Linked DNA regions of Saccharomyces cerevisiae S288C. Each later gene encodes a partner of the first gene's protein in a complex. Each region holds a gene or a part of one and is shown in the gene's direction. Other genes may lie near its edges.

Region 1 (9,801 bases):
ATTCACAAAAGGGAGTCGATAGTTCTCCATAATAATGTTACTTCATCTTCCTTATATACTTTGTCATTCATTATTCTATCGTATTATCAATACTGGCATTTCAGCTTCACTAAATTTTCATGACTGTTTCTTAATCTTTATACCATTTTCTTAAACCGCATATGATAATATACTAGTAATGTAGAGAATGTGGATTTTGATGTAATTGTTGGGATTCCATTGTGATTAAGGCTATAATATTAGGTATGTAGATATACTAGAAGTTCTCCTCGAGGATTTAGGAATCCATAAAAGGGAATCTGCAATTCTACACAATTCTATAAATATTATTATCATCGTTTTATATGTTAATATTCATTGATCCTATTACATTATCAATCCTTGCGTTTCAGCTTCCACTAATTTAGATGACTATTTCTCATCATTTGCGTCATCTTCTAACACCGTATATGATAATATACTAGTAACGTAAATACTAGTTAGTAGATGATAGTTGATTTTTATTCCAACAAGTAACATGAATAAAACTAAACAGATGATATTTTAAAGTTTCATTGCAACAAACATGTTTAATGTCCTATTACTTCCAAAATTAATTAGTTTTTCCAACGAAATAGCCTTGTTGGCGCAATCGGTAGCGCGTATGACTCTTAATCATAAGGTTAGGGGTTCGAGCCCCCTACAGGGCTATCTTTTTTTTAAACAACATCCACACTTTATTGTGGTCATTGTGATATTCTTAAGAAACTTTTATTTCATCTATGATATTTTTTTTTACGTATACATTATAAATCATCAAACTCATGTGGCATTCTCCGCGCCCTTTGATATTTCCCCCTCGTTATACTCATTCGACCGGTCCGCTTGCGATGACTGGTTTGGCTCATCTTTTGGCTCATTTGCATCTTCAGCCAGCTCGCTACAAACCTTGGATCCGAAATGGTGCTCAACCATGTGTTCCACAGCAACATAGCCGTATAAATTAACAAATCTTCTTCTTACTACGATATTGTTATGGGAATCAGGCTGGATCTGCACTAATACTTTTCTCCAAGTCATCGTTTCTTGCCATTCTCTAGCAATGCGCTCTTGAATCCTGTTGACACTCTCATTAGGATATATAAGCTTCTTAACGATAGGCCTATTCTCATAATGCGGCGGAGGTAATTCTTCCGGGTGATAAAGTTTATCATGAATGACTTCATCTTTCCTTACAGCCGGGTTTTTGATATACTCCTGATCTGGTATGGCAGCTGTCAATACCGATAATGCAGACAATACAGTATTGGCTTCTTTTGGAGGTTCGAACTTTTGACCATCAAGAAATACTCCTTGTTCATTATCCGAATCTGAGTTGGCTTCATTAGTTTGTCCTCTCTTATATTTATTTATTTTACTTCCGTGGATAACGGCCTGAGGTAAAGTCCACTGCAACGTCGCTTTTTTGTTTGGACTTTCTGCAGGAATCTCCCCGACGTTGTTACCATTTTCGTTTGAAGGTGATGATGCTCCACTACTCTCTGGGCTATCGGAGGACACAAACTCGCTTGAAGTTGGAGAGTTCTTATTTTTTTTCCTAATTTTCTGGACTTTGTGTATGCTTCGCCAATCCAGATACAAAAGTGCAGCAGTTCGTAATGGAACAATACCATCATCCATGACATTGGCATATATCGTTCTCCTCTTAAAAGACTCAAATACTTTTTTAGCCGGCGCCTGTGGAAGAATTTCTAATATGTACTTGGAATGTTCTGGGTACACTTCATCGTCTGCATACAACCCATCTTTGGACGTTAACGGTGTATATTTTAAATTCAAGTCCCTTCCTGTCAAACCAAGCGCGCCCATATCCAGTGGAACAGACAAATAAAAGGGGAAGTCGCCAATAACACCGATGAAAGGACTAGCTAACGTAATAAAATTAACGGGTTTAACACCTTTAACTGCATCAAAAAAATCTGGTCTTTTAATACTTATGTAACGCACCGCCATGGATTGAGTTGGCCCTCCTAGGGAATGGCCAATGAATGATATCCTGTCTACTTTGTACTTTTTATTCAACTTATCAACAGTCTCAAGCACATACTTTCCAACTCTAACGCCCAAGCAATGTATACCGTGACCTGATTTCCCGACGTTGCCCATAAAACCTCGAACAATTATATTCGGATTAATAGACTCATCCATAGGAAACGTCATTTCTTCAATTTTATCTTTCATATATAGCATATCACACCCGATATTAGAAAATATACCATGTGTCATAATAACGAGATGTACAGGCTTTTCTGGAAATTTTGGTGGTAAATCCCAAAGGGTTTCAGTATCCCACATCTCTAAAGAGACACCTTCAATACTCTTAAAGAGCCCATTCGATTTCTTGACCACCTTCCTTGTAGTCCCTATCCTAAACGAAAATTCCAGCTTCGGAATTGTGGTTACCGCCAACTGCGAAATTATATCTATTGTCCATGAATAAAGAGAAGTGTCGCCAACTCTAGAATTCTCATTCAATAATATTTTTACTTTAAATCTTTCGTCCGGCTTTAGATTTTCAACAAATGGAATAATTTCCTTCCCTGGAAACTTGCGATTCTCATTATAGTTATGCGGCCTAACATCGATGTAAAAAGAATATGGCCCCGTCAAATAAAGCGGTCGCAGAAGCGCGCTTTCCTCGTTCTTGATCCTCAAGAATAGATGCGATACATCTAGCCCTTGTTCCTTAATTACATCTTTGTTCACGGAAAACTTGTAGCGATATAACTCACCTATTCTTAATCTCTTCCGCTCATCAACCAATAAGGTACCTCCGGTTTCATTTATCTCGAGCGAATTTTTCATTCGGTTGATTTTGTAAGGCATTAAGGGATCGAACCAAAATGGAGCAATTCTTTTATAATAAGAAGATGAATAACAGCCGAGTAAGTGATTCTCCTCCGCATTTCCTGCTGTTCATTGTTTTATCATACTGAATAAACAATCCTTAGAAAATAGCATCGATATATTCGCGCTTAACAAAGCGAAGAATTGAAACATTTTTTCAGGTGGAGGGACCGGGTAGTGCCGGATCAAGTAGTGTAGTATTTATTGTAGTACACTCTTACAACAACCCTTTAAGACGAATGGTGTGAAATCGGAAATTACTTTGTTGAAGTAAGGTGTAACTATATTTTAAGAACGTTTAAGCTGGATATCAAGATCTGAGGAGGTAGTATGAGTTCTGACGCTTCCACGTACAGACTTGAGGATGTTTTATCCAGCTTCTATAGAGTGGAGAAAATCAAAAAGATCAACTATCATCAGTACATTTCTAAAGCCCAAAACGATCAATGGTCTATCCAAATGGAATTCATGCTACGGAAGCAGGATCCAAAGACTCTAGTTGCGCTGCTTTCAAGGGATTTATGGTGTTTCAGTATAAATGATGATCCGGTACCGACACCTCCTGCGATAGAACATAAACCAGTGAGCCCAGATAAAATCGGAACTTTCACTGCCGATTATTCAAAGCCAAACTTACCGCCACACTATGCTCTTTTTTTAAAAGCTTTAAGAAGGAAAATTTACATTAATTTGGCATTAGGTTCACACAATAAGCTAATACAATTTGGGAATGCCTGCATATCATTAAGCGGAGTGCCAAATTATCTCGTACAGCTAGAACCACACCTTTTTGTAAACGGAGATCTCACAGTGTCGTTATGTGCCAAGAACATGGGATTAGTACCAATGAAGGAGGAAAATTTGGAAGAATCTTTCCTTTCAAAGCATGCGCTTTATTTAGCACCATCTGGAATAAGGATGCATTTGGCCCCTGCTTCCAAGCAAGGATACTTGATAACGCCACCAAAACATACAGAACTTCTCTTGACGACGTTAAGTGTATCTCATGGTATAAACTTACAAAATAAAAAAAATTTGAAATGGGTTGCTGTTGTTCCTGACTTAGGACATCTCAACGGCCACACACCTACTATAGCTTCGTATTTAACTCCCTTACTTGAAGCAAAGAAGCTAGTATGGCCGCTGCATTTAATCTTCGCCCAACCAGTAGCTGATATAGAAAATTCTACTTCCGGAGATCCATCAGAATTTCACTGTTTGCAAGATGCTCTGGATGCCATTGATGATTTCATACAATTAAAGCAAACAGCTGCCTATAGGACTCCAGGAAGTTCCGGCGTATTGAGCAGTAATATTGCTGGTACAAATCCCTTAAGCTCAGATGGAGCATATACAGAACAGTTTCAACATTATAAGAACAACTCAATTAGTTCTCAACCCGCTTCTTATCATTCTGTCCAAGAAACTAATAAGATATCTCCGAAAGATTTCTCCCCTAATTTCACAGGCATTGATAAATTAATGCTGTCGCCCAGCGATCAATTTGCTCCAGCTTTCTTAAATACCCCTAATAATAACATCAATGAGAATGAATTATTTAATGATAGGAAACAAACTACAGTATCAAATGACTTAGAGAACAGCCCACTGAAAACGGAACTGGAGGCAAATGGTAGATCACTCGAAAAGGTAAATAATTCCGTGAGCAAGACAGGAAGCGTAGACACACTTCATAATAAAGAGGGAACACTGGAACAACGAGAACAGAACGAAAATCTGCCAAGTGATAAAAGTGACTCTATGGTAGACAAGGAATTGTTTGGTGAGGATGAGGATGAGGATTTATTTGGCGATAGCAATAAATCGAATTCTACAAACGAATCGAACAAAAGTATATCGGACGAAATTACCGAGGATATGTTCGAAATGTCTGATGAAGAAGAAAATAATAACAATAAAAGCATTAATAAAAATAACAAGGAAATGCATACTGATCTTGGTAAAGATATTCCATTTTTTCCCTCATCTGAAAAACCGAATATCCGTACGATGAGCGGAACTACAAAAAGATTAAATGGAAAGAGGAAATATTTGGATATTCCGATAGATGAAATGACCTTGCCAACGAGTCCATTATATATGGACCCAGGTGCGCCACTCCCTGTGGAAACACCCCGCGATAGACGCAAAAGTGTGTTCGCTCCACTGAATTTTAACCCCATAATAGAAAACAATGTTGATAACAAATACAAATCTGGAGGGAAATTTTCCTTCAGTCCGTTGCAAAAGGAGGAAGCATTAAACTTTGATATTTCTATGGCGGATCTTTCTAGCTCTGAAGAGGAAGAGGATGAAGAAGAGAACGGTAGCAGCGATGAGGATCTAAAGTCATTGAACGTACGCGACGACATGAAACCTTCTGATAACATCAGTACTAATACTAATATTCATGAGCCTCAATACATAAATTACTCTTCGATCCCAAGTCTACAAGACTCTATTATAAAGCAAGAAAATTTCAATTCAGTAAACGATGCTAATATCACTAGCAATAAGGAAGGCTTCAACTCTATTTGGAAAATTCCTCAAAATGATATACCACAGACCGAGTCACCACTGAAGACCGTTGATTCATCTATTCAACCCATAGAATCCAATATAAAGATGACCTTGGAAGATAATAATGTTACCAGTAATCCGTCCGAATTTACGCCGAATATGGTAAATTCTGAAATTTCTAACCTACCAAAAGACAAGAGTGGTATCCCCGAATTCACACCGGCGGACCCCAATTTATCTTTTGAATCATCAAGTAGTCTACCGTTTCTATTGAGACACATGCCGCTAGCATCTATACCGGACATTTTCATCACGCCTACTCCCGTTGTTACAATTTCAGAAAAAGAACAAGACATCTTAGATTTAATTGCAGAACAAGTCGTCACTGATTATAATATCTTAGGAAACCTCGGTATTCCAAAGATCGCCTATAGGGGAGTTAAAGATTGCCAAGAAGGTTTAATAACAACCACAATGTTACAGTTATTTTCCACTTTCGATAGATTAAATGGCAATGATACGATCTCCAAATTCTATAACATGAAGCAGCCGTACGTTTTTGTAAAGAAACATCACGAACTAATCAAAGTCAAACACGACTCTCAGCCATTTATTAAGTTCCTCAATTTTCGCCCTCCAAATGGAATAAAAAACTTCAAATCCTTATTATTAAGTTCATCTTTCAAAGAAGATTGTCTGTCATTTGCGCCAACTCTATCTCAAACATATATTAATCAAGAGTTAGGGTTTTGTGAGTTGCTTAAACTAACTAATGAAGACCCGCCCGGACTGATGTACTTGAAGGCATTTGATAAAAACAAGTTACTGTTGTTAGCTGCGCAGATTGTTTCATACTGTTCTAATAATAAGAACTCCATCAAAAACGTGCCACCAATATTAATAATTTTACCCTTGGATAATGCAACTCTGACTGAATTAGTAGACAAGGCGAATATTTTTCAGGTGATCAAGAACGAAGTTTGTGCCAAGATGCCTAACATTGAACTATATTTGAAAGTTATTCCTATGGATTTCATTAGAAACGTACTGGTGACAGTGGATCAGTACGTCAACGTAGCAATTTCTATATATAACATGCTGCCGCCAAAATCTGTAAAGTTCACCCACATTGCGCATACGCTGCCGGAGAAAGTGAATTTCAGAACCATGCAGCAACAGCAAATGCAACAGCAACAGCAACAGCAACAGCAGCAGCAGAATAACAGTACAGGATCATCTTCTATAATATATTATGACTCGTACATCCACCTGGCATACTCGCGTAGTGTAGATAAAGAGTGGGTTTTTGCAGCTCTTTCAGATAGCTATGGACAAGGCAGCATGACGAAAACGTGGTACGTCGGGAATTCCAGAGGAAAATTTGACGACGCATGTAATCAAATATGGAATATCGCCCTAAATTTAGCGTCTAAAAAATTCGGAAAAATATGTCTAATTTTAACTAGATTGAATGGCATACTGCCGGATGATGAATTGATGAATTGGAGGAGACTTTCTGGTAGGAATATACATCTTGCTGTGGTGTGTGTGGATGACAACTCTAAAATCTCCTTCATAGATGAGGACAAATTGTACCCTAGTTTCAAGCCGATCTACAAAGACACTAGGTTTGGAGGACGCATGGATATGACCAGATTATACGACTATGAAATAAGGGATATAGACCAGGACATCCATGGAATAGTATTTCAGCACCCGTTCCCACTGGCACACTCACAGCATCGCTGTGCTATTAGGAGTGGTGCTTTGATCAAATTCAAAAAATGCGACGGTGATACGGTTTGGGACAAATTCGCAGTCAACCTTTTAAACTGTCCACATTCTGATAGTACACAATTGCTGGAAACCATCTTAGAAGAGTTTCGCAACCTGGCTGCTCTAAACGTGTGGTACGGTCTCTCTGATGGCGAAGATGGCCATATTCCATGGCATATCCTAGCCGTGAAAAAAATGATGAACACTCTTGTGCACACCAGAGTAAAAATTGCTAATACTTCCGCCGCTACTGTGCATACCGCTACTTCTTCATCAATTATTCTCTCGGATAAATAAACTTTTTCCGGCAACGTTTTCCTGCTCATCTGTAGCCCTATTTACCAGTTTTGGTTTTAGTATTATTCCGGGGTGTAAACCCAGAAGTCTATTTCTCCAGTCGGATTTATAAAAACAAAACCGGAAGCGGGGCGGTACGGCATTTTCACTGGTGATGCACGCCCAGCGTGTAGTCCGAGACAATTTCCACAGAACGCGAATGAGATTGCGTTTAAGGCTGTATTTTCAAGGCACACGAAGCGGCCACGTGGGTCTGCGATGGTGTGTTGATGATGTCAAGAATGGTATCATACTCCGTATAAGGTTATGTAATCGGAAGTCGCGATTCTTTTTCAATTTTTTCTTTTTATTTTTTTCCAGTTTTTTCGTCTCTGCGATGGAAAATTGTTGAAGTTCTCTTGATTAGCAAGTAGTTCTTACATCGCAGGAATCTTATGTTGCATAGCTCAATTTACAAAAATAACAAGGATAAATATATATATATACGCATATACTTTTTGGGTGTTAAAGTAAATTTTGCACCCGTTCATACCAATCGTTCAGATAATTTTCGCTCCTTAAAAAAAGAGAGTGCGTGTGTATATGCCTGTTCATTGCCTGTCCGCCTCTCATTATGTCTATTTCTGAATCTTACGCAAAGGAAATAAAAACTGCATTTAGGCAGTTCACTGACTTTCCCATAGAGGGTGAGCAATTTGAGGATTTTTTACCTATTATTGGCAACCCCACGCTATTCCAAAAGTTGGTACACACGTTCAAGACGCATTTAGAAGAAAAGTTCGGCAAAGAAAAGATCGACTTTATTGCAGGTATAGAAGCTAGAGGCCTTCTATTTGGGCCATCCCTAGCACTGGCATTGGGAGTTGGATTTGTTCCAATAAGGAGAGTTGGAAAATTGCCGGGTGAGTGTGCTTCTATAACATTCACAAAATTAGACCATGAAGAAATTTTTGAAATGCAGGTTGAAGCCATTCCCTTTGATTCCAACGTGGTTGTCGTGGATGATGTTCTCGCCACCGGTGGAACGGCATATGCTGCGGGCGACCTTATCAGACAAGTGGGTGCTCATATTCTGGAATATGACTTTGTGCTAGTGTTAGATAGTCTACATGGTGAGGAGAAATTATCTGCTCCTATTTTTTCCATATTGCACTCCTGATTTAAATTTGTTCTCTGCCTCCTCCTTCAATTATTTTCCTTTCCTTCGCATATTGCTACTTTTTAGCTTGAACTTCTTTTGTTAATATAAACTGGTACTTTACTTTTTAGGTACCTGGTCCACGGCGCCTTATCCTTCTTTTAATTCATATTATTACCTACTCTTATTCTCTCCCTTTCTATTTTTTTATTTTTTGATTTTTATAAGTTACACTTGTGTACATGTTATTTCTACTTAGTTATTCATACTCATCGTTAAAAGCCGTTCAAAGTGCCTCATCTGGTATACTTCACCGGCGTACCTCTGTTCCTCCTACCTCTTGCAGCAGGGCTGAATAAACTTTCGTCCACATCCTCCATCACTGTTGATATATAATACTCTCCGCCACTATGCGTCCATGAAACACTATCCTCCTTAAGATCATACCTTTGCACCTTTAATCTATTGAAGATGTTCTCAACATTGTAGAAGTTGATCTGATAAGTGAGGCTTCTTAAACTTTTCAAACTTATGATCTTACATCCAACTTTTGCCGTTTGTAGTATCTTTTCGACTTTTTTATTCAAATCTTCATCAAATAAAAAATTATTTACGAGGATAACATCGCACTGAGGAATTAGTTCAGCGACCCTGTTATTGTCCACAAAGCTTTTCTTCAATGAAAACTCCACGTTGTTCAAACGCATCCCATATAACTTACACCTCTTCTTTAGTTCCTCGTACTGCAGTATAGTTAAATCGCTAGCATCATCCATGATTTCACATCCGAAGCTTAATGCACATCCACATTCCAACGCAGCTTGTACTACGCAATTACCTACTCCCGAACCGAGATCCATGAAAGTGTCACCCTTCTTCAACTGGCATTGTTGATATACATCAGATAGGAAATTGGGCAAAAGTTCTCCATAAACATAATTGCTGAATGCTTTGTAATGTTTCAATTTATTCGCCTGCGGATGGATACTCCTGGTATAGACGATATGCAAGAAGTCATGAATGAATGAACGAGGAATTTTATCAATTGTTTCTAAATGGTCAATTATTCTTTGCCTAGGAATTTCACGAATCATTTTGTTGTATAAATTTATAGCATTCACGAAACCTTTCGTGTCAGAGTTATCAAATGATGCATTTAGGTCCGGTAGTATAGTTTCCTTCAA
Region 2 (6,577 bases), on another chromosome or scaffold:
ATTCATAGAATCTTGCATAAGCCCACCCACAATTAATGGAGAAAAGGCATGCCCATTTTTGCCTAGCTCTTTGAAAACTTGTCCCTGTGGCCGGACAGCCCTAGAGGAACTGACTAAGCCTCGTAAGCATTGTGATGATCCGATACCAACCTGCGACTCAAGATGCGGTAAACCACTAAAATGTGGCAAACATTCGTGCCCCTTCACTTGTCATGATAAAGCCTGTATGGAACCCTGCTTGCAAATTGATAGTGTAAAATGTGCTTGTGAGCAAAGTACATTTTCAGTTCCATGTGGATTTCAAGGAAGGCCTCGCTGCAATATTAAATGCGAATCCCTGATGTCATGCCGTAGACATAGATGCACCGATAGGTGCTGCAGTGGTAGGCCATCGGCGATAAGAAGGAAGAAAAACTTGTTCAGAACGCAAGATTTGTTGGATGAGTCTCTTGTGGAAGCAAAACATATCTGCCTAAAACCGTGTAACTTGACCCTATCATGTGGAATTCATAAATGTCAGAGAAAATGTCACCCAGGAAAGTGTCCGCCCTGTTTAGAGAGTGATTCGAACGATCTGGTCTGCCCATGTGGCAATACAGTTGTTCCTGCACCCGTGCGTTGTGGCACGAAGCTACCTACATGTAATCATCCATGTATTAAAGTTGTGCGTGGCGAATCTACGTGTGGTCATAAACCAATGCCACATACCTGTCATTCCTTGGATGTGTCGTGCCCGCCATGTACGGAAACCGTATTTAAACCTTGTAAATGTGGGAAGAAAACTAAAGTGAGAACGGTTTGTTTTCAAACAGACGTATCATGTGGAATAAAATGTGGGATACCACTCTCTTACTGTTATCATACCTGCCAAAAAACATGTCATTTACCAGGAAATTGCCAAAAGGTGTGTAAACAGACCTGTGGGCAAAAAAGGCTCAATTGTAATCATGAATGTCCTAAACCGTGCCATGGTAAGACAGAGTGTCCCGATTTACCTTGTGCCACGCTAGTGAAAATTTATTGTAAATGTGGAAGGATCAAAAAAAGTGTTACTTGTGGCGCAAAAAGTGATAGAGTAAGTGTAACTGAATCTTCCGTGCTGGATTGCAATGAAGAATGTGAAGCTTTGAAACGACTAAAGGAATTGAAGGAGGCATTTGGAATTAAGGAAGAAACCAATAATTTTACAAGTAATGAACTAGATGCGTTAAAAAAACTGGTCTCTGTTGCTACAACATTTGAAGAACTGCAGTTACCGTTTACAGAGGCAGCATTATCAGTATATTCAAAGCAAGAAAGATGGTGTTCACAAATTGAAGCTATTCTTAATAAATTAATGGACGATAAAACACGTTCAAGCTTGCATTTCAAACCTATGAGGCCTCCTCAACGCCACTTCATCCGTGAACTAGCCAAAGCTTACGGCCTATATTCCGAGTCTCAGGACAGAGAGCCCATGAGATCTGTATTTATTAAGAAAGAAGATAATGGCGCAAGCAATAAACCAGTCTTATCATTAGCAGAAGCTTACCCACTATATGAATCATTTAAACAATTGCAGAAGGAAAGGAAAGCACAAGAATTTCAAGCTCGCACCACAGCTAAACTAATCAACTTCGAGGTTCAAGATACGGAACCTAAAGTAGAGGTGGCTAAGAAAAATGGTTTTTTGGTTCAAAATTTGGTTGCTGGAAATACTGCCGAAGATCTAAGGAGATTTTTTGAACCACATCTCAAGCATACGTTAGTAGTGAATCCTCAATACCTAATCCTTGATGATGGCAAAACAGCACTAGTGTATCCTGAAAATTACGAAACAGCATCCGTGAATACCGAACGTGACATGGAGCTTTTGGTTGGACACTTCGATTTTATGGCCAAAGAGGCATTTTTGGCCGATTCCATTTCGTTGTGTTCAACTGAAGAAGAACTTGAAAGAAGGTTGGATACGCCCGTAATTCAAGAGGATAGTCCTGTAATGGATAATAATACATGAACTATAATAGCGTGTCATTATTTATTACGCGGAATTCTAATTAAATAGAAATATCTAACTTTTATTTTTTTTCATCCTATCTCATTTCTTGTTTCTCCCTGTCGTTGCTAAAATACGAGGATCTGCATATGTTTACATATCAACGTTCCCGTAAACGAATGGAGAATACTGAGTGTCACGTTAATAATACGGATATTATAATTTGGAAACCTAGTCAAGTAAAACCAGAAGAGATTTTTCTTTTCTCTTAAGCTTTTTTGGCTTGACCAAACGAAAAGTCCCTCACACCCAAACACTGAAAGTAATTCTTCGTATTTAAATAATTCAAAAGTTATGATGAGCAGGCTCTATGTAAAAAAATGGCCCATAATTTTCCCTAGAACGTTATAAAAACGCGACTAGTGAGGTATTGAGTATGGAGAGTATATTTGGTGGGTTTGGAGATCTAGTTGTTCCTAGGCCAAAGGAGCATCTCGGTCAAACAGACCTTTCCTTCGGTGGAAAATTATTGCCTGCATTGAAAATTTGTGAAGATGGCGGTGAAAGTGGTTGTGGCGGTAAAGTCTGGATCGCTGGCGAACTGTTGTGCGAGTACATACTCGAGAAATCAGTTGACCATCTGCTAAGTAAGACGGTCAATGGTACGAAACAATTTAAAAAAGTCTTAGAATTGGGTAGTGGTACAGGTTTAGTTGGATTGTGCGTGGGGTTGTTGGAAAAAAACACATTCCACGATGGCACTAAAGTATATGTTACGGACATTGACAAGTTGATACCACTATTGAAAAGAAATATAGAACTGGACGAAGTTCAGTATGAAGTTCTTGCGAGGGAACTTTGGTGGGGTGAGCCGCTGTCGGCAGATTTCTCACCTCAAGAAGGTGCTATGCAAGCAAATAACGTTGATCTAGTTTTGGCAGCTGATTGTGTGTATCTCGAGGAAGCTTTTCCATTACTAGAAAAAACACTACTTGATCTCACTCACTGCATAAACCCACCTGTAATCTTGATGGCTTACAAGAAGAGAAGAAAAGCTGATAAACATTTTTTCAACAAGATTAAAAGAAATTTTGACGTTCTTGAAATTACAGATTTTAGTAAATTTGAACATTATCTTAAGGAAAGAACCCACTTGTTTCAGCTTATCAGGAAGTAACCTGACACAGTGAATTTATCTCTTAATGATCCTGATCTTATTATATTTAGTAATGAACTTTTCGATAGACATTTGTAATTCATGAAAAAACGATATAACATTCATTTTTGTAGTGTGGTGTACGCATGGTGGGACTGCTCTTCTTGAGCGAAATTTTGATCTTCAATAGAGTGAGCAACGACAACTCAAGGATAAAGACAGAACAGCGGTAAACATCGTTTGCAAAATAACTAGAGAGCCGGATCGATTTACTTTGCAAAGTTGCGTCCTTTTTCCACGACAGAATATGTCTGCATTATTTAATTTTCGTTCTCTTCTGCAAGTGATATTGTTACTGATTTGTTCATGTTCTTATGTTCATGGGCAGTGGCCGTCTCTCCTAGATCGTTACAAAAATCATGAGGTTTTGGGGGCCTTCTGGAAAATGGCACGTGTTGGTGAAAGGGCCAGTCCATATGTTAGTTTAGCATGTATTTTGATGGCCATCAGTCAATTTAACAGCTGATTGGAAGATACTTAGTCATATGGATTTAAAGTTACGCAAATCAAGGTCATAGAAGGTGCAGTACCTTTTAAAACAAAGAGTATAAGTGGATTCAGACGAAGTGTCTCTTTAATTCTATCGTCTGATAGCGTACAAGTAAGGGTGCTATGAGCTAGCACGCACAGCAAAAATATAAACACTTTTGTATTTTTTTTTATTTTATAGTGTTTTGTGTTGAGTATTCATCTATTCGACCTCTATAGAGATTTAAGAAGGGAATTCATTGTCACAATAAGGACGCATAGTTGTTCATTTTAGACATCATTTACAGCACTTCCGTAAACTACCCCATATTGCGATTGAATACTACCGAAAAGGCTCAAGAATTTACGTGGTGCCCAATCAATTATATAGAATGAGGAACAATGGTAAGTAATGAATAATCATGGTCAGTAATAAAAAAGCAATCTCGTCCATGTTTCTTTTTGAAACTCAGAGCTTGACTCTGTTGCATTGGTATTTCATCATTTGATGAATTATTCACTATTCCATCTTCTTCTTACACAAGTTTACCAATAAATAACTCATCTGAGTTATTCAGACTTTTTATTAGATCAGTTCGGCATATTTAACTATGCAAAAGTTTTACACTGCTAAAAAGTAGTGTAAACAACAAACTGTTAAAAAAATAAAAAGGGGTGAATCCATGGACCAAGAATAGTAAGCTCCATTGGGTTACTCGATCCAGCACGGGAAAGAGCAATCGTCATAACTATGGTTTAGATTCCATACAAACGGAATCCAGTACCGAAGAAAACACCAGTACCCTGCAATAGAGGTACCAGGTCAAGAAGCAGAATACCCAAGGGCATCCTCCTTAATGAGTTGATTTAAACAATTTAAAATTTTTAAATCTCATTACGTTTTCCGCATACGAATTGGTGGGAGACTTTCAACCCAAAGCATATTACTGAGTAAAAAAAATTTTACTCCATTTTGTAAGCTTCGATTTGTGACGATTCTTTGGTCATGGATTGAAGAACTTTAAACGAGAAGAAATTAGAAAACAGGTGAAGACCACTATTTAGTTCTTTACCGCAACATAGGATAAACAAAGTTATTTTCTTACTCCTTTATATATTTGAAAAAATATAAAATCCACGGAAAAACATCGAAAATTCATTTTTCATGAAGGAAAATTAGGGTTCATACAGGAGTAGAGTTCATTGATGTGGTAGCAACCTTGTTAGCACTCATATTGTTCGAACAAAAAATGCCCTCTCAAACTTTAGTTGAAGAGCGATAAGGCATCTGAATCTCAAAAGTTAGACATGTCGGGGAGCTTCTGGACATCTACACAAAGGCATCATTGGCAATATACCAAGGCATCATTGGCTAAAGAGAGGCAGAAGTTATGGCTATTGGAGTGCCAGCTGTTTCCTCAAGGTTTGAATATTGTAATGGATTCGAAGCAAAACGGCATCGAACAATCCATCACAAAGAATATACCAATAACTCACCGAGACTTACACTATGATAAAGATTATAATCTAAGGATCTACTGCTATTTCCTGATAATGAAGCTTGGAAGGAGACTAAATATAAGACAGTATGCACTGGCTACAGCACATATTTATCTATCAAGGTTTTTAATAAAGGCTTCAGTTAGAGAAATAAACCTATATATGCTGGTTACTACGTGTGTATATTTAGCATGCAAAGTTGAAGAATGCCCGCAATATATCAGAACTTTGGTAAGTGAAGCCCGTACCTTATGGCCCGAATTTATTCCTCCTGACCCTACTAAAGTTACTGAGTTTGAGTTCTACTTACTAGAAGAATTGGAAAGTTACTTAATTGTCCACCACCCTTATCAATCCTTAAAGCAAATTGTTCAAGTCTTAAAGCAACCGCCATTTCAAATAACACTATCGTCAGATGATCTACAAAACTGTTGGTCCTTAATCAACGACAGTTATATAAATGATGTTCATTTGCTTTACCCTCCTCATATTATCGCTGTTGCATGTTTATTCATTACGATTTCCATTCATGGGAAACCAACCAAAGGATCATCGTTAGCATCTGCGGCTTCTGAAGCCATCAGAGATCCTAAAAATTCTAGTTCTCCTGTTCAAATAGCTTTTAATCGTTTTATGGCAGAATCTCTTGTAGATCTTGAGGAGGTTATGGATACGATTCAAGAGCAAATTACATTATACGATCATTGGGACAAGTACCACGAACAATGGATAAAGTTTCTGCTACATACTTTGTATCTTAGACCAGCATCTGCAATTTAATCATGCGAAGAATAAATTTAAAAACCGTTAAGCCTGTAAATTCAATCATTATGGTGGTGATGATCCGTTTTGGAAATGTTTCGTCCTTGACTACCTTTGTTTAACATGATATTGGAACGTCAAGACATATTGAGAATAGGTACCGTTATAATGCATAATTAAAAATTGCTTTGATATTGAGGTGGAAAGCTGGGTCGGACCTTGACATGTATTAAATTTAAAGAATCGAACCTAGTGTTTTTTTCTCCAGTGTTCAAAAAATCCTTTCAATTTGGTCTACTGCAGTAGCCCACTTATAACACACATTCAAGATGGGTGAACCGTGGCTCAAACTTCCCCATTTTTCAGAGTATGTGCAACCACAAAACCTTTGTCAGAAATTCTTATGGCAGGCCAAATTGATAAACTAACAGAAATATTAAACGCCCCCCAAGTTAAAATACTAGAACATGTTGGCTTATTTCAAAAACATTTTCTTCCTTTTCTAAAGTGTTTGATAATACTTTTGCATATATATAAGTGGACACGGACTAGTAAAATTGAACAGCATCATAGTCTTGATTTTGTGTGAAATGAGGTTGAGGATAAAGATCGCATTGCTGCAATCACACGAACTACTAAAAGAAAACTCAAAATAA
Region 3 (6,851 bases), on another chromosome or scaffold:
CAGAAGAGGGGAATTTGATGCGGCTGGGGAATGCTTATGCGTATTGCAAGCCGTCGCAAAATGTTGGGCTGAAGCTGGACTTGTTACGGGGTCTTCCAGGGTACGTGGGTCACGCCACGAGTAGGATCAACCGGTTAGAGAACCAGGACAATTACTCCATTAAAATGATGCGGTCGTGGCCTAATGCGTATGGAAGTGCCCTGAACTGCTCTGTATTCGATGGCCATGGGGAGAAAGGTGCGCAACTGTCACAGTTGTTAGCCGATAAATTGTGCAGTAGCCTGGATTTCCCTGAACCCTCCTGGGACAAGCAGGACTTGAAGAAGTTGGTACAGGAATATGCAAGAAGGTTTCCCGAGGGAAATTACTGGAAACATAAGCTGTCCACGTTTGAAAAATTCTACAACAAGTTTATAAAGAACTGCAACTCGAAACAAGAACTGCTGCTGATGAAGGAGGGCGATAGTGCGATCCTTGGACAAAATGGTGGCAGGATGATTTTTGATAAAATGGGGAATATTATTGACAAAATTGCACTGCTCACTGAGCTAGACCGTCTGCGATTGTTCTACGGGTTTGCCAGGTTCGATCTCGACCAATGCTGCGGCCTGGGCACCGCAGCGGGGTCCACAGCGTCGTCCATATTTCTATATCCGTATGATGATCCGAATGCACCCATTGATGAGGGGAAAGACGATGACTCGTGGATCATATCGCACTCTGGATTGCTCAAACTCATTGTCACGCAGGTGGGCGACTCTAAGATCATCCTCTGCGATCAAGACGGGATTGCACACGCATTAACAACAACTCACCACATCAATTCCAGTAGGGAACGACACCGTTTGAGCATAGACCCTTCTCGATTGGACCCAGACGCCTTTGGAGAGACAAGGTTTTTGAATAATTTCGCCAACACTAGATCGTTTGGTGATGTCGCTGGGAAACCGTATGGTATATCTAGTGAGCCGGATATTTTCTCGTTTCTTGTCGGAAATACCTTGCATTTGCCGCGATCTGAAAGGTCGAAGCTGCCCTTCAATGGTGATGAATGCTTCCTGGCGCTTGTCACCGACGGCATCACCAATAAACTTGCAGACCAAGAGGTTGTTGACCTCATCACCTCTACGGTGAACTCCTGGGGACTGAAAAAGGCGACTCCTCAATTTGTTGCAGAGGAGACAATCAAATTTATTCAGGCAATAGCCACTAAACACTCAGACAACGCCACTTGCGTGGTGGTTAGGCTTTCCAATTGGGGCAACTGGCCCAATGTTGACAGAACTGGCCCCCAAAGAGAAACCAAACTAATGAATGCACAATCTAACGAAACAAAATTAAACTAAACACCCCCCTGGGTGGAAACAAGTCCTAGATAATCATCTTTTGTATTTTTTTTCTTCCTTTTATTAGTATGTATACATATATATTACTTTTTATATTCTTTATAGCGCATTTTAAACACCTTTCTGAAAAAATGCTGAGATTTTTGATGCTAATCGAAAGATTAAAAAAAGGTCTATAGAGGTAAGCCAATAACGCGATGAATAACGGTTCTGGTCGATACTTGCTGACTCCCCCAGATGATCTTCACCCCTATGTGCCAAGCTCGAAACCTCAGGAACAAGTATACCCTGATTTCAAGCCTTGGGAGCACACTGCAGCAGAAGATCAAATCCTAGCAAACTTTGTGGCTAAGGGCTTTTACCATACACCAATGGTAAATTTCGAGTCCATATCTGCGAGATCATCTGTTCATGAATCATTAGTCACTCAATCCAACATTCTTTCCCAGCAATTCGACAAAATTATCAAGATTAGAGAAGACCACATTAATAAGATCCCCTCAAATTCCACGACGACATTACACGGGCCTGGTTTTCAGTTGCCTAATAGAATAACCCTTACTGATCATAGAAAGGAAACGTGGTTGCATGAATTGAGTTCGTCTCACACTTCGCTGGTCAAAATTGGCAAGTTTATACCTCACGGCTTGAAAAGAAGGCAAGTCATCGAGCAGTGCTATTTAAAATTTATACCATTGAAAAGGGCGATTTGGTTGATAAAGTGCTGCTATTTTATCGAATGGAAATCGAACCACAAAAAGAAGAGGTCAAATGCTGCTGGGGCAGATGATGCCATTTCCATGCACCTGCTAAAGGACTGGACGGATACCTTTGTATACATCCTGGAAAAGCTCATCTTTGATATGACAAATCACTATAACGATTCTCAACAACTGCGTACGTGGAAGAGGCAGATTTCTTATTTTTTAAAACTTTTGGGGAATTGCTACTCACTAAGATTGATCAATAAGGAAATCTTTCATCATTGGCTTGTAGAGTTTATAAATAAGATGGAAAACTTCGAATTTTTGCCATTATCTTTACATATTTTGATGATTTTTTGGAACGACATCTGCCAAATTGATACAAATGCTCCTGTTGCGGCTACAATAACATCAAGTCAAAAAGAGCCCTTCTTTCTGGTAACAAAAATCACTGATATGCTATTGCACAAATATTATATTGTTTCCAGCAGCAAATCAATGATAAATGACGAGAACTACATCATCAATGATATAAAGAAAAACAACAAGATAAAGTTGAATATTCTCAAAATATTATCCAGTTTAATTTTGAAAATTTTTCAAGAACAATCTTTAGAGGTGTTTATATTTCCCACATCTAACTGGGAAATTTACAAGCCCTTACTTTTTGAAATAGTCTCAAACGCCGACACTAATCAAAATTCTGATATGAAGAAAAAATTAGAGTTAATTAGTTACAGAAACGAGTCATTGAAGAATAATTCTTCTATACGAAACGTAATAATGTCTGCCAGCAACGCAAATGACTTTCAATTAACTATCGTCACCTGTAAACAATTTCCAAAACTATCATGCATTCAATTAAATTGTATAGATACTCAGTTCACCAAGCTACTGGACGATAACCCTACAGAATTCGATTGGCCCACTTACGTTGACCAAAATCCCCTTACAATGCATAAAATTATTCAATTAATTCTCTGGTCCATACATCCATCAAGGCAATTTGATCACTATGAATCTAATCAACTGGTAGCGAAATTATTACTATTGCGAATAAATTCAACAGATGAGGATTTGCACGAATTCCAGATAGAAGATGCCATTTGGTCATTGGTTTTCCAATTAGCCAAAAATTTTTCGGCCCAAAAGAGGGTGGTATCATATATGATGCCTTCTTTGTATCGCCTGCTTAATATACTAATTACTTATGGCATCATTAAGGTCCCTACGTATATCAGAAAGCTAATCAGTTCCGGCCTACTTTATCTCCAAGATTCCAATGATAAGTTTGTGCATGTCCAGCTGTTAATTAACTTGAAAATTTCACCGTTGATGAAAAGTCAATACAATATGGTATTGAGGAACGTTATGGAATATGACGTTAAATTTTATGAAATTTTTAATTTCGACCAACTCGTGGAAATCACAGAACAAATCAAAATGCGAATACTCTCCAATGATATAACTAATTTGCAACTGTCGAAAACTCCTCTGAGCATTAAAATCATGGTTGCAGAATGGTACTTATCACATTTATGTTCCGGTATTTTATCTAGTGTTAACCGCACAGTGTTGCTAAAAATATTCAAGATTTTTTGTATCGATCTGGAGGTTTTCCACCACTTTTTTAAGTGGATCGAGTTTATTGTCTACCATCAATTGCTAAGTGATATAGAATCTCTGGAGGCATTGATGGACATCTTGCTATGCTACCAAAAATTGTTCTCACAATTCATTAATGACCATATTCTTTTTACGAAGACGTTCATATTCATTTACAAGAAAGTTTTGAAAGAAAAAGACGTGCCTGCTTATAATGTGACTTCATTTATGCCATTCTGGAAATTTTTTATGAAAAACTTCCCTTTTGTTTTAAAGGTGGATAACGATTTAAGGATTGAGTTACAATCTGTTTACAATGATGAGAAATTGAAAACTGAGAAGCTGAAGAATGATAAATCAGAAGTCTTGAAGGTGTATTCCATGATCAATAATTCAAACCAAGCTGTTGGACAGACTTGGAATTTTCCCGAGGTGTTTCAAGTAAACATCAGGTTTCTACTACACAACTCCGAGATCATTGATACAAATACAAGCAAACAGTTCCAGAAAGCACGAAACAATGTCATGCTTTTGATTGCCACTAACTTGAAGGAGTACAATAAATTTATGTCCATTTTCTTGAAAAGGAAAGACTTTACTAACAAAAATTTAATTCAATTGATCTCTCTAAAACTTCTAACTTTTGAAGTGACGCAGAATGTGTTGGGGCTCGAGTATATTATTCGATTATTACCAATAAACTTGGAAAATAATGACGGCTCATATGGTCTGTTTTTGAAGTATCATAAAGAACAATTCATAAAGTCAAATTTTGAGAAAATTTTACTTACATGTTATGAATTAGAAAAAAAATATCATGGCAACGAATGTGAAATAAATTATTATGAGATCCTATTGAAAATTTTAATAACTTATGGGTCATCTCCCAAATTACTTGCAACATCTACAAAAATCATTATGTTGTTATTGAATGATAGCGTGGAAAACTCATCTAATATTTTGGAGGATATTTTGTACTACTCAACTTGTCCGTCGGAAACCGATCTTAACGATATTCCATTGGGTAGTGGACAACCAGACAATGACACTGTTGTAACCAACGATGATAAAAGTGACGATGATGATCACACAGTCGACGAAATTGATCATGTAGAATATTACGTTATGATGGACTTTGCCAATCTTTGGGTTTTCCAAGCGTTTACCTGTTTCTGCATCAAAAAAATCATGGAGAATAATGAGCCAGCAATGGCAATGGAAGACTTGAAGAACTTCATATTCCAAATTATCGAAATAACTAATTCTAATGATTTATGTTCACAAATATTTGACCAACTGAAGGATATGCAGACCATTGAGATGATAACCCAAATAGTGGAGAAAGATTTCTGCACTTCTTGTTTGCAAAACAACAACCAAAAGATAGATGATAATTACATCGTTGTGGTGATCGAGATTATAACGTCATTATCGATGAGGTTTCAAAGAGAAACTTCTGGTATGATAGTTATTTCCATGGAGAACTATCATTTACTAATAAAGATCATAAGACAATTAAGTGAACTGAACGAAGGAAATTTATCTAAGAGAGAAATCCAAATAGATGCCGTCTTGAAAATTTTTAGCTTTCATCAGGATTCCATTTTCCAACGCATCATCGCTGATTTATCAGCTGATAAACCCACAAGTCCATTCATTGATAGCATATGCAAGCTGTTTGATAAAATATCATTTAATTTAAGATTGAAGCTGTTCTTGTACGAAATTTTGTCTTCATTGAAATCATTCGCCATCTATTCATCCACAATTGATGCCCCAGCATTCCACACAAGCGGTAAGGTCGAACTACCGAAGAAATTGCTGAACTTACCACCATTCCAAGTGTCCTCTTTCGTTAAGGAAACAAAACTTCATAGTGGCGACTACGGGGAAGAAGAAGATGCAGACCAAGAAGAATCGTTTAGTTTAAATTTAGGAATCGGCATAGTTGAAATAGCGCACGAAAACGAACAGAAATGGCTCATTTATGACAAGAAAGATCATAAATATGTCTGCACATTTTCCATGGAGCCGTACCACTTCATCTCCAACTATAATACCAAGTACACAGATGACATGGCTACAGGCAGTAATGATACGACTGCGTTTAACGATTCCTGTGTAAACCTGAGTCTTTTTGATGCTCGGTTTGAGAGGAAAAATCCACATTGATCTCAGAATATATCCAAATGGATAAATTATAAATTTACCAATAACAGTAATTATGTGTCAGTTTTAATACCCAACCAATTGATTCCTCTAAATGATACCGTACCAAATGACATGTTTGCCACCGATTATAAAACTGGGGTTTATGAGCGATGGTTAAGGAGGATTAAGACAAAGTGCTCATCCGCTTACAAGATCAGTACTAGCGTGTACCAGTCTATTTAAACTGGAATGATCACCCCAAAGGGAACGCACGATGCTGTGGCCAAGTTTCAAAAAACTGACCTGCATCAAGATCTCGATTACATCGTACTGCAACAACGAAGAACACAGCTAGAGACGCTTATTAACGAAAGAGAATCTTTTGTCAAGAATCTGTGTTCTCTTTTCCACAAAATTCAAAATACCAAGAATTACCAGGAATTTGTTGATGTATTGGCGGAGAATAGGGATTTACTGCGAGAAATTTTCACTGTAGAGAACGGATTTCAAAAGCAAAAATGGATTAGCAACGACGACATTCCCCAGATAGACTGGGACAAGTTTGCCCTAGATATCAACGCTTATATAGCAGAGAACGATCAATTGTTGGCTTTGTATGAAGATGGCTTATTATGATCAAATAGCGGCTATGGACATTTTTAAACATATATTTATATATATATACATATATGCGTATATTGCATAAATCACAAAGAAGAACAACGCCCTAGATATAGTGACCCAAAATATTATGTTTAAGTTACTGGTTGGGGTTCATGTACATTTTTCACTATCTTTTAATTCCAAATGTGGATTGTGCTTCTGCAGATTTTGTTGCCTAGTATTCTGTGATGGAAAAAATTGCCCCGATGAGATATAAAATGAGCTAGCCCCCTAACCAAAGAAAGCAGGATTGGTTAGTACATAGAGAAACCAAAGCTGTTATGTTGTTCTATAAGCCTGTGATGAGGATGGCGGTGAGACCGCTAAAAAGCATAAGATTCCAGTCCTCATACACCAGTATTACTAAATTGACGAACCTAAC
Region 4 (7,029 bases), on another chromosome or scaffold:
CCTTGTAGAGACCGGCTCCATTGATAAATTGGGCCTAACAACTAACTCATTTGAGACTATCAAACAGTTTCAAGGAACTCATCTAAATGGGCTATATTATCAAAACCTCTTAGTAGACGATAAGGTTGGCAGGCCCTTATTACATGGTGCACACGTTACCAGCGGTACAGGGACTGGATTGGTTCATACAGCACCAGGGCATGGACAGGATGACTATCTCATTGGTATTCAAAATGGTCTTGAAATTTATTCTCCCGTGGATCACCAGGGCCGCTACCAATTAAATGAACTTCCTCAGTCCGTCAGATCCATCGTGAGAGATGAAGGAGACTTAACAAAAGGTAGGCAAGTATTGGATGCCGAAACCGCGAAAATCATTCTATGTAAGTTAAGCGACCTTAATTTACTTTACAAATCTCACGAATACACGCATTCTTATCCGTACGACTGGAGATCCAAGAAACCTGTCATAATAAGAGCTACTCCACAGTGGTTTGCAGATTTACACGATGTAAAAAACTTGGCTCTGGAAAGCATCAGCCGCGTCAAGTTTTGTCCTAAAAGAGGCTATTCAAGACTTTCATCCTTTATGAAAAGCAGAAATGAATGGTGCATATCTAGGCAACGCTCATGGGGTATCCCTATATTAAGCTTTTACAAGAAGAGCGAACCGGATTCTGTTTTGATGAATTCAGAAATTTTGGCACATGCCATAGAAAAAATCAAACAAAAAGGAATTAATGCATGGTTTAACGATAAAGATAATGACATGAAAGAATGGTTGCCAGAAAAATATCACGACGTAGCGCATGAATACTGTCGTTCTCAAGATACTATGGATGTGTGGTTTGATAGTGGGTCGTCATGGAGTGTGATCAAAGACTTTTATGAAAAAAGCTTAAAGTTGTCAAAACTCCCATCCCCCCTGTACCAAGTTTGTCTAGAAGGATCTGATCAACATAGAGGATGGTTTCAAAGTTCACTGCTAACAAAAGTAGCATCAAGTAATGTCCCTGTTGCACCATATGAAGAAGTGATTACTCATGGTTTTACCCTAGATGAGAATGGTCTGAAAATGTCAAAATCTGTGGGAAATACAATTTCTCCCGAAGCAATAATTCGAGGCGATGAAAACTTAGGCTTACCAGCTTTGGGTGTTGATGGCTTGAGGTATCTGATAGCACAATCGAATTTCACAACTGATATAGTTGCTGGCCCGACTGTGATGAAACATGTAGGAGAAGCTCTAAAAAAGGTTAGACTAACTTTTCGCTATTTATTGAGTAATTTACAGAAGTCCCAAGATTTCAACCTTTTGCCGATTGAACAATTACGCCGTGTTGATCAATATACCTTGTATAAGATAAACGAACTGCTGGAAACGACGAGAGAACACTACCAAAAGTACAACTTTTCCAAGGTTCTCATTACTCTACAATATCATTTAAATAACGAGCTATCGGCGTTTTATTTTGATATCTCAAAGGATATTTTATATTCCAACCAAATATCGTCATTGGCAAGAAGGCAGGTCCAAACAACGCTTGTCCATATACTAAATGCATATAGGGCAATTCTTGCACCAATATTACCCGTTATGGTCCAAGAAGTATGGAAGTATATACCAGAAGGATGGTTACAAGGACAAGAACATATAGACATTAATCCGATGCGTGGAAAATGGCCGTTTTTGGACTCAAATACGGAAATCGTCACCTCCTTTGAAAACTTTGAACTAAAAATTCTAAAACAGTTCCAGGAGGAATTCAAGAGGTTAAGTCTAGAAGAAGGTGTCACCAAAACAACACATAGTCACGTTACCATTTTCACCAAGCATCACCTCCCATTCAGTTCTGACGAGCTTTGCGACATATTGCAATCATCTGCTGTTGATATATTGCAAATGGACGATAATAATAACAGTCTACCAACTATTGAATTGGGAAGCGGAATAAACGTTCAAATATTGGTTGAACGAAGCAAAAGGCACAACTGTCCCAGATGTTGGAAGGCCAACTCAGCCGAAGAGGATAAATTGTGTGACAGATGTAAAGAAGCTGTGGATCATCTCATGTCTTGAATGACATGTACCTTTCCTGTATATAAAGAATGCCAATTATTGGCTCTTAGAAAATAAAAACCCTCTTGTACTTATTAGTGGGTACCTAACAGGTCCCCTACTGACATTTTGATGCAGGGCCTCGGCCTATTGTTCTTACCAGCTCTCAGCGCGTTATACGAACAGGAAGCAAAGAAGAGAAATGTAAAAATATTGCTTTTGAGAGACCGTGTAAGGATAAGTGTTACACCCAAGGCACCCTCACCAGGAACATGACTGTCATGAATCTTTTCTTCAGGCCCTGTCAACTGCAGATGGGCTCTGGACCGTTGGAGCTCATGCTTAAAAGGCCAACGCAATTGACCACGTTTATGAACACCAGGCCCGGCGGATCAACCCAAATTAGATTCATATCGGGAAATTTAGATCCAGTGAAAAGAAGGGAGGATAGACTACGTAAAATATTTTCCAAGTCACGACTTTTAACAAGGTTAAACAAGAATCCTAAATTTTCACACTATTTCGACCGCCTCAGTGAGGCCGGCACGGTTCCAACACTTACATCATTCTTCATCTTGCATGAGGTAACTGCCATACTACCACTGTTTCTACTATGGTGGTTACTTTATAACCTCGATCTTTCTGATGATTTTAAGCTCCCAAACTTCTTAAATGGCCTAATGGATAGCTGTCATACAGCTATGGAGAAATTTGTTGGTAAGAGATATCAGGAATGCCTCAACAAAAACAAGTTGATTTTATCTGGCACAGTAGCCTACGTTACAGTAAAATTACTATATCCGGTACGCATTTTCATTAGTATCTGGGGAGCACCATATTTTGGGAAATGGTTGCTTCTTCCCTTTCAAAAATTAAAGCACCTTATTAAGAAATAAAGCTTTTTTTTCCTTTTTTTTTTCTGGCCCAGAGACGGATTATTGTTTTCAGTTGAAGTTGCGCACTCGGCATATGATTTATAGATTCCCAATATATTGTACTTCGTTATATATGTGTTACGAATATTTTTGATTTCGTTTTAGAGAGTTTTGATTAGAGGAAATTATAGCTTTTTTTAACAGTGAAATAAATATCATACATCAAAAGTCTTCAAGAATTACGTGGTGTGGCTTAAGTTGCGTTTCATTTTCCCGCTTCAATACTTGAAAGTTATCCCACAATCACTGCTGACAAAAAGGATACAAGAAAGGTTTATAGGAAAGAAAAAAGGCGGAAGGGTATACTGAAGTTAGTAATTTTGCTTCCCAATTGAATTAAGGCCGCCTAGTTTTGACGGGAGGAGAGAGAAATGTATAATGGCAAGGATAGAGCACAAAACTCCTATCAGCCAATGTACCAAAGGCCTATGCAGGTACAAGGACAACAGCAAGCTCAATCGTTCGTTGGAAAGAAAAACACAATCGGAAGTGTGCATGGAAAAGCCCCGATGCTAATGGCCAATAATGATGTTTTTACTATTGGACCTTATAGGGCAAGAAAAGATAGAATGCGGGTATCTGTCTTAGAAAAGTACGAAGTTATTGGCTACATTGCTGCGGGCACATATGGTAAAGTTTACAAAGCGAAAAGACAAATCAACTCCGGTACCAATTCCGCTAATGGTTCTAGTCTGAATGGTACCAATGCGAAAATTCCGCAGTTTGACAGCACGCAACCAAAATCAAGCTCTTCAATGGACATGCAGGCAAATACAAACGCATTAAGAAGAAACTTGTTAAAGGATGAAGGAGTGACCCCCGGAAGAATACGAACTACGAGGGAAGATGTATCCCCGCACTATAATTCCCAAAAACAAACCCTCATTAAAAAACCGCTGACGGTATTTTATGCCATTAAAAAGTTCAAGACAGAGAAGGATGGCGTCGAACAATTGCATTATACGGGAATATCTCAGAGTGCCTGTAGAGAAATGGCATTATGTCGAGAATTGCACAACAAGCATTTAACCACATTAGTGGAAATTTTTTTGGAAAGGAAATGTGTCCATATGGTATACGAATATGCGGAGCATGATCTGCTACAAATTATCCACTTCCATTCCCATCCCGAAAAAAGGATGATACCACCAAGAATGGTTCGGTCTATTATGTGGCAGCTTTTAGACGGCGTATCGTATCTTCATCAAAATTGGGTGCTTCATCGAGATTTGAAACCCGCAAATATAATGGTGACCATAGATGGATGTGTTAAAATTGGTGATTTAGGTTTGGCCAGAAAATTTCATAATATGCTGCAAACCCTCTATACTGGGGATAAAGTGGTTGTCACTATATGGTACCGTGCACCTGAGTTGCTATTGGGAGCACGGCACTATACCCCTGCGGTTGATTTATGGTCCGTTGGCTGCATTTTTGCAGAACTGATAGGATTACAGCCCATATTTAAAGGTGAAGAAGCTAAACTAGACTCTAAAAAGACTGTTCCATTTCAAGTGAATCAACTACAGAGAATTTTGGAAGTTCTTGGCACTCCCGATCAAAAAATTTGGCCTTATTTGGAGAAGTATCCAGAATATGATCAAATTACGAAGTTTCCAAAGTATAGGGATAACCTTGCTACATGGTATCATTCCGCGGGAGGAAGGGACAAGCATGCTTTAAGCTTACTTTACCACTTGTTAAATTATGATCCAATTAAAAGAATAGATGCATTTAATGCGTTGGAACATAAGTACTTCACAGAAAGTGATATTCCTGTTAGTGAAAATGTATTTGAAGGTCTAACTTACAAATACCCGGCAAGAAGAATTCACACGAACGATAATGACATCATGAATCTTGGATCAAGAACGAAAAACAATACACAAGCTTCAGGAATCACCGCAGGTGCCGCTGCAAATGCGTTAGGTGGGCTTGGTGTTAACCGTAGAATTCTGGCCGCGGCAGCAGCAGCCGCTGCTGCGGTGTCAGGAAACAATGCATCAGATGAGCCATCTCGAAAGAAAAACAGAAGATAGGCTTCTATTTTTATATATATTTGGAATTTTTCATTCCACAGCACTGTCACTATTATATTCATTAAACTTTTTTTTATCTTTATAGTATTTAAATCGGCATACAGTTTCAATTTTTCGCTTTAGAGGCACTAAGAATGCAAGTCTGCAACATTCAGGTAAAATAATGGGTTGATTTTAGGTCGAGCTAAAACCCTGTTCTCCGCAGATGTATGCGAATTTCGTCATAATTCATCTCAACTAATGGGGCTTTAAAACATATGAATATCTCATGCATTCCCAAAAAAGAAGAAAGAAAAGACTTCAAGTACCCCCCTTAATTTTTATATAATGGTAGTAGTAGGTTTGTTCGTAACTTATCGGCAATAGTAATATGTTCCCATTATAACACATCTGTTAATGGTATTCAGGTTAATAACCATAGCAAAAAATATAAACAACTTTGTACATTTTCCATAAAAAAGAATGACTTTACGAAAACATTGGATGAAACAACCAGTTCATCCCGTTCAAAGTCTAAACTACGTATAAAGTAGAGTTATCATCGGTTAACAAAGTACATTGTGTAGTATGTAGAAGGGCTGAAACCATCAAGAAAAGGAGGGACACGCTCATACAAAGGAGAAGTCATGAATTCTAAATGTATCTAATAAGATACGTGAATTCAGCATCACCTAGTTATTAATGACCAGCCGAACCTAAAAGTCATTGCACAAACAATGTAGAAACATAGCTAATTTTACATACTTTTATTTGCGGTCTACTTATAACCATTATGTATATCATGGGAAATAAATAATTCTCGTCTTGCCTATTACTTCAAACGGAACGTCTAGGAGCGATACTGGTAATAAGGTTTCAGTATGATTTACTGAGATGCTGGACAGTATATGTAGAGAGTTTCTCGCGCTTCTCGTAAAACAGTACTAAAATAACGACATAAAAGCTTTCGAGTACGTTAGAGATTCATCTATCTACTCTTTGAAAAATAATGTACATACGTAAAGAGAATACAAATCGAAATTCCTATAAATATGGTTCTACCTCTATTTTTTTGCGTGCTTTCTCTTACGCTTGAACCCGATTATTCTCTTTATATCATCGCCCATCTTTTTGTCATCGGGATTGGTGGGCGTCGTTGCTTCTTCTTTTTTTGGCTTCTTATTCTCGGATTCTCCGACATCTCCAGTATCTTCATTATCTGGTCTTGTTCTCTTGGTTCTTGCTTGCTTCAATTGTTCCCTTCTTCTCTTTACGACGTTAGAGTTCTCAATCGCAAATTCAACACAAAGACGTCTTCCTTTGCCTAAGTCATTGTCTACTTGTTTCTTTTCATCATCATTCAAACCCTCTAAAATTTCATCGGAGGTAACGGCATGACAATTCAACCACCTTAAGCCCATCAAAGCGTTTTTATGATCTCTGAATTCTACAAAACCGTAACCTCTACTTCTTCCCGCAGTTGATCCTTTAACTTCCATTATAACTTTTGCTTGCTTGACAACACCACTTTTTTTGTCTTTCTTTTTTTGAGCTTCAATCTCATCTGGACCCATGAACTTGTATTTTTCCTTTGTAGATCTGATAATCTCTTCTTTACTCAATGGATGTCTTTCCTTATTTTTAACTTCTGTAGCAAATTCCACGACAGCTTTACGAGCTAACGCCTTTAATGCTTTATCATTCATTGCTCTAGGAAGATTTCTGATAGCCAACCTAGTCATCGACAAATGCAAAGATGGGTTCTTTTTCAGTTGCTCCACTCTTAATTTGTAAGATTTTTCTCTGATCTCCATGTCAGTGTTGGTTAACAAATCAGCCATTTTTGAGCCTTCAACAACTCTACCTTCATTCAGCAAATATAAGTTACGTCTATCTTTTTCGCCTGGCGCTTTACCTAGGGCCTCCTTTCTTTTGGCGGCGTTCTTTTCTGCCATTCTTCCAGCATCCTCTCTTACTAACGTTGGAGTAATGGACAGAACACGACCTTCATACACAT

What was found.
Region 2: the proteins of SSN2 (region 1) and SSN8 are in contact, whole or in part, in a cryo-EM structure (PDB 7KPV), measured with the Saccharomyces cerevisiae proteins. Residues at the interface, in NP_010731.3 of Saccharomyces cerevisiae: His1109 (codon at 6,541), Leu1111 (codon at 6,547), Pro1112 (codon at 6,550), Val1115 (codon at 6,559), Phe1117 (codon at 6,565), Arg1118 (codon at 6,568), Thr1119 (codon at 6,571), Met1120 (codon at 6,574), Lys1208 (codon at 6,838), Phe1210 (codon at 6,844); in NP_014373.3 of Saccharomyces cerevisiae: Lys18 (codon at 5,019), Ala19 (codon at 5,022), Ala22 (codon at 5,031), Leu283 (codon at 5,814), Glu284 (codon at 5,817), Met287 (codon at 5,826), Ile290 (codon at 5,835), Gln291 (codon at 5,838), Ile294 (codon at 5,847), Asp298 (codon at 5,859).
Region 3: the proteins of SSN2 (region 1) and SRB8 are in contact, whole or in part, in a cryo-EM structure (PDB 7KPV), measured with the Saccharomyces cerevisiae proteins. Residues at the interface, in NP_010731.3 of Saccharomyces cerevisiae: Ala5 (codon at 3,229), His126 (codon at 3,592), Lys128 (codon at 3,598), Leu129 (codon at 3,601), Ser138 (codon at 3,628), Ser140 (codon at 3,634), Val142 (codon at 3,640), Pro143 (codon at 3,643), Tyr145 (codon at 3,649), Val147 (codon at 3,655), Leu163 (codon at 3,703), Ala165 (codon at 3,709), Ser288 (codon at 4,078), Gly289 (codon at 4,081), Asp290 (codon at 4,084), Phe294 (codon at 4,096), His295 (codon at 4,099), Cys296 (codon at 4,102), Leu297 (codon at 4,105), Asp299 (codon at 4,111), Ala300 (codon at 4,114), Leu301 (codon at 4,117), Ala303 (codon at 4,123), Ile304 (codon at 4,126), Asp306 (codon at 4,132), Phe307 (codon at 4,135), Ile308 (codon at 4,138), Leu310 (codon at 4,144), Lys311 (codon at 4,147), Gln312 (codon at 4,150); in NP_010004.1 of Saccharomyces cerevisiae: Leu75 (codon at 1,766), Val76 (codon at 1,769), Ser79 (codon at 1,778), Leu82 (codon at 1,787), Ser83 (codon at 1,790), Phe86 (codon at 1,799), Asp87 (codon at 1,802), Ile90 (codon at 1,811), Lys99 (codon at 1,838), Ser102 (codon at 1,847), Ser104 (codon at 1,853), Thr105 (codon at 1,856), Leu108 (codon at 1,865), Leu140 (codon at 1,961), Lys168 (codon at 2,045), Arg169 (codon at 2,048), Ile171 (codon at 2,054), Lys175 (codon at 2,066), Met223 (codon at 2,210), Tyr227 (codon at 2,222), Leu233 (codon at 2,240), Trp236 (codon at 2,249), Lys237 (codon at 2,252), Leu244 (codon at 2,273), Lys245 (codon at 2,276), Gly248 (codon at 2,285), Asn249 (codon at 2,288), Tyr251 (codon at 2,294), Ser252 (codon at 2,297), Leu253 (codon at 2,300).
Region 4: SSN2 (region 1) and SSN3 share a complex: the UniProt entries of both Saccharomyces cerevisiae proteins name them as parts of the SRB8-11 complex.

What each region holds. Positions count from the first base shown.
Region 1 is NC_001136.10:1,343,354-1,353,154, reverse strand, and holds SSN2 (Ssn2p), read left to right. Parts: upstream 1-3,216; coding exon 3,217-7,479; downstream 7,480-9,801. Other genes in the region: YDR444W (putative hydrolase), read right to left, coding at 802-2,865; adenine phosphoribosyltransferase APT2, read left to right, coding at 8,093-8,638; histone methyltransferase DOT1, read right to left, coding at 8,914-9,801. UniProt on the Saccharomyces cerevisiae protein: Component of the SRB8-11 complex. The SRB8-11 complex is a regulatory module of the Mediator complex which is itself involved in regulation of basal and activated RNA polymerase II-dependent transcription.
Region 2 is NC_001146.8:583,682-590,258, reverse strand, and holds SSN8 (cyclin-dependent protein serine/threonine kinase regulator SSN8), read left to right. Parts: upstream 1-4,967; coding exon 4,968-5,939; downstream 5,940-6,577. Other genes in the region: FAP1 (Fap1p), read left to right, coding at 1-1,996; EFM6 (putative protein-lysine N-methyltransferase), read left to right, coding at 2,412-3,152; KSH1 (Ksh1p), read left to right, coding at 3,439-3,657. UniProt on the Saccharomyces cerevisiae protein: Component of the SRB8-11 complex. The SRB8-11 complex is a regulatory module of the Mediator complex which is itself involved in regulation of basal and activated RNA polymerase II-dependent transcription.
Region 3 is NC_001135.5:252,828-259,678, forward strand, and holds SRB8 (Srb8p), read left to right. Parts: upstream 1-1,543; coding exon 1,544-5,827; downstream 5,828-6,851. Other genes in the region: type 2C protein phosphatase PTC6, read left to right, coding at 18-1,346; AHC2 (Ahc2p), read left to right, coding at 6,056-6,442; TRX3 (Trx3p), read left to right, coding at 6,751-6,851.
Region 4 is NC_001148.4:471,044-478,072, reverse strand, and holds SSN3 (cyclin-dependent serine/threonine protein kinase SSN3), read left to right. Parts: upstream 1-3,365; coding exon 3,366-5,033; downstream 5,034-7,029. Other genes in the region: isoleucine--tRNA ligase ISM1, read left to right, coding at 1-2,080; MRX11 (Mrx11p), read left to right, coding at 2,332-2,955; mRNA-binding ribosome biosynthesis protein NOP4, read right to left, coding at 6,077-7,029. UniProt on the Saccharomyces cerevisiae protein: Component of the SRB8-11 complex. The SRB8-11 complex is a regulatory module of the Mediator complex which is itself involved in regulation of basal and activated RNA polymerase II-dependent transcription.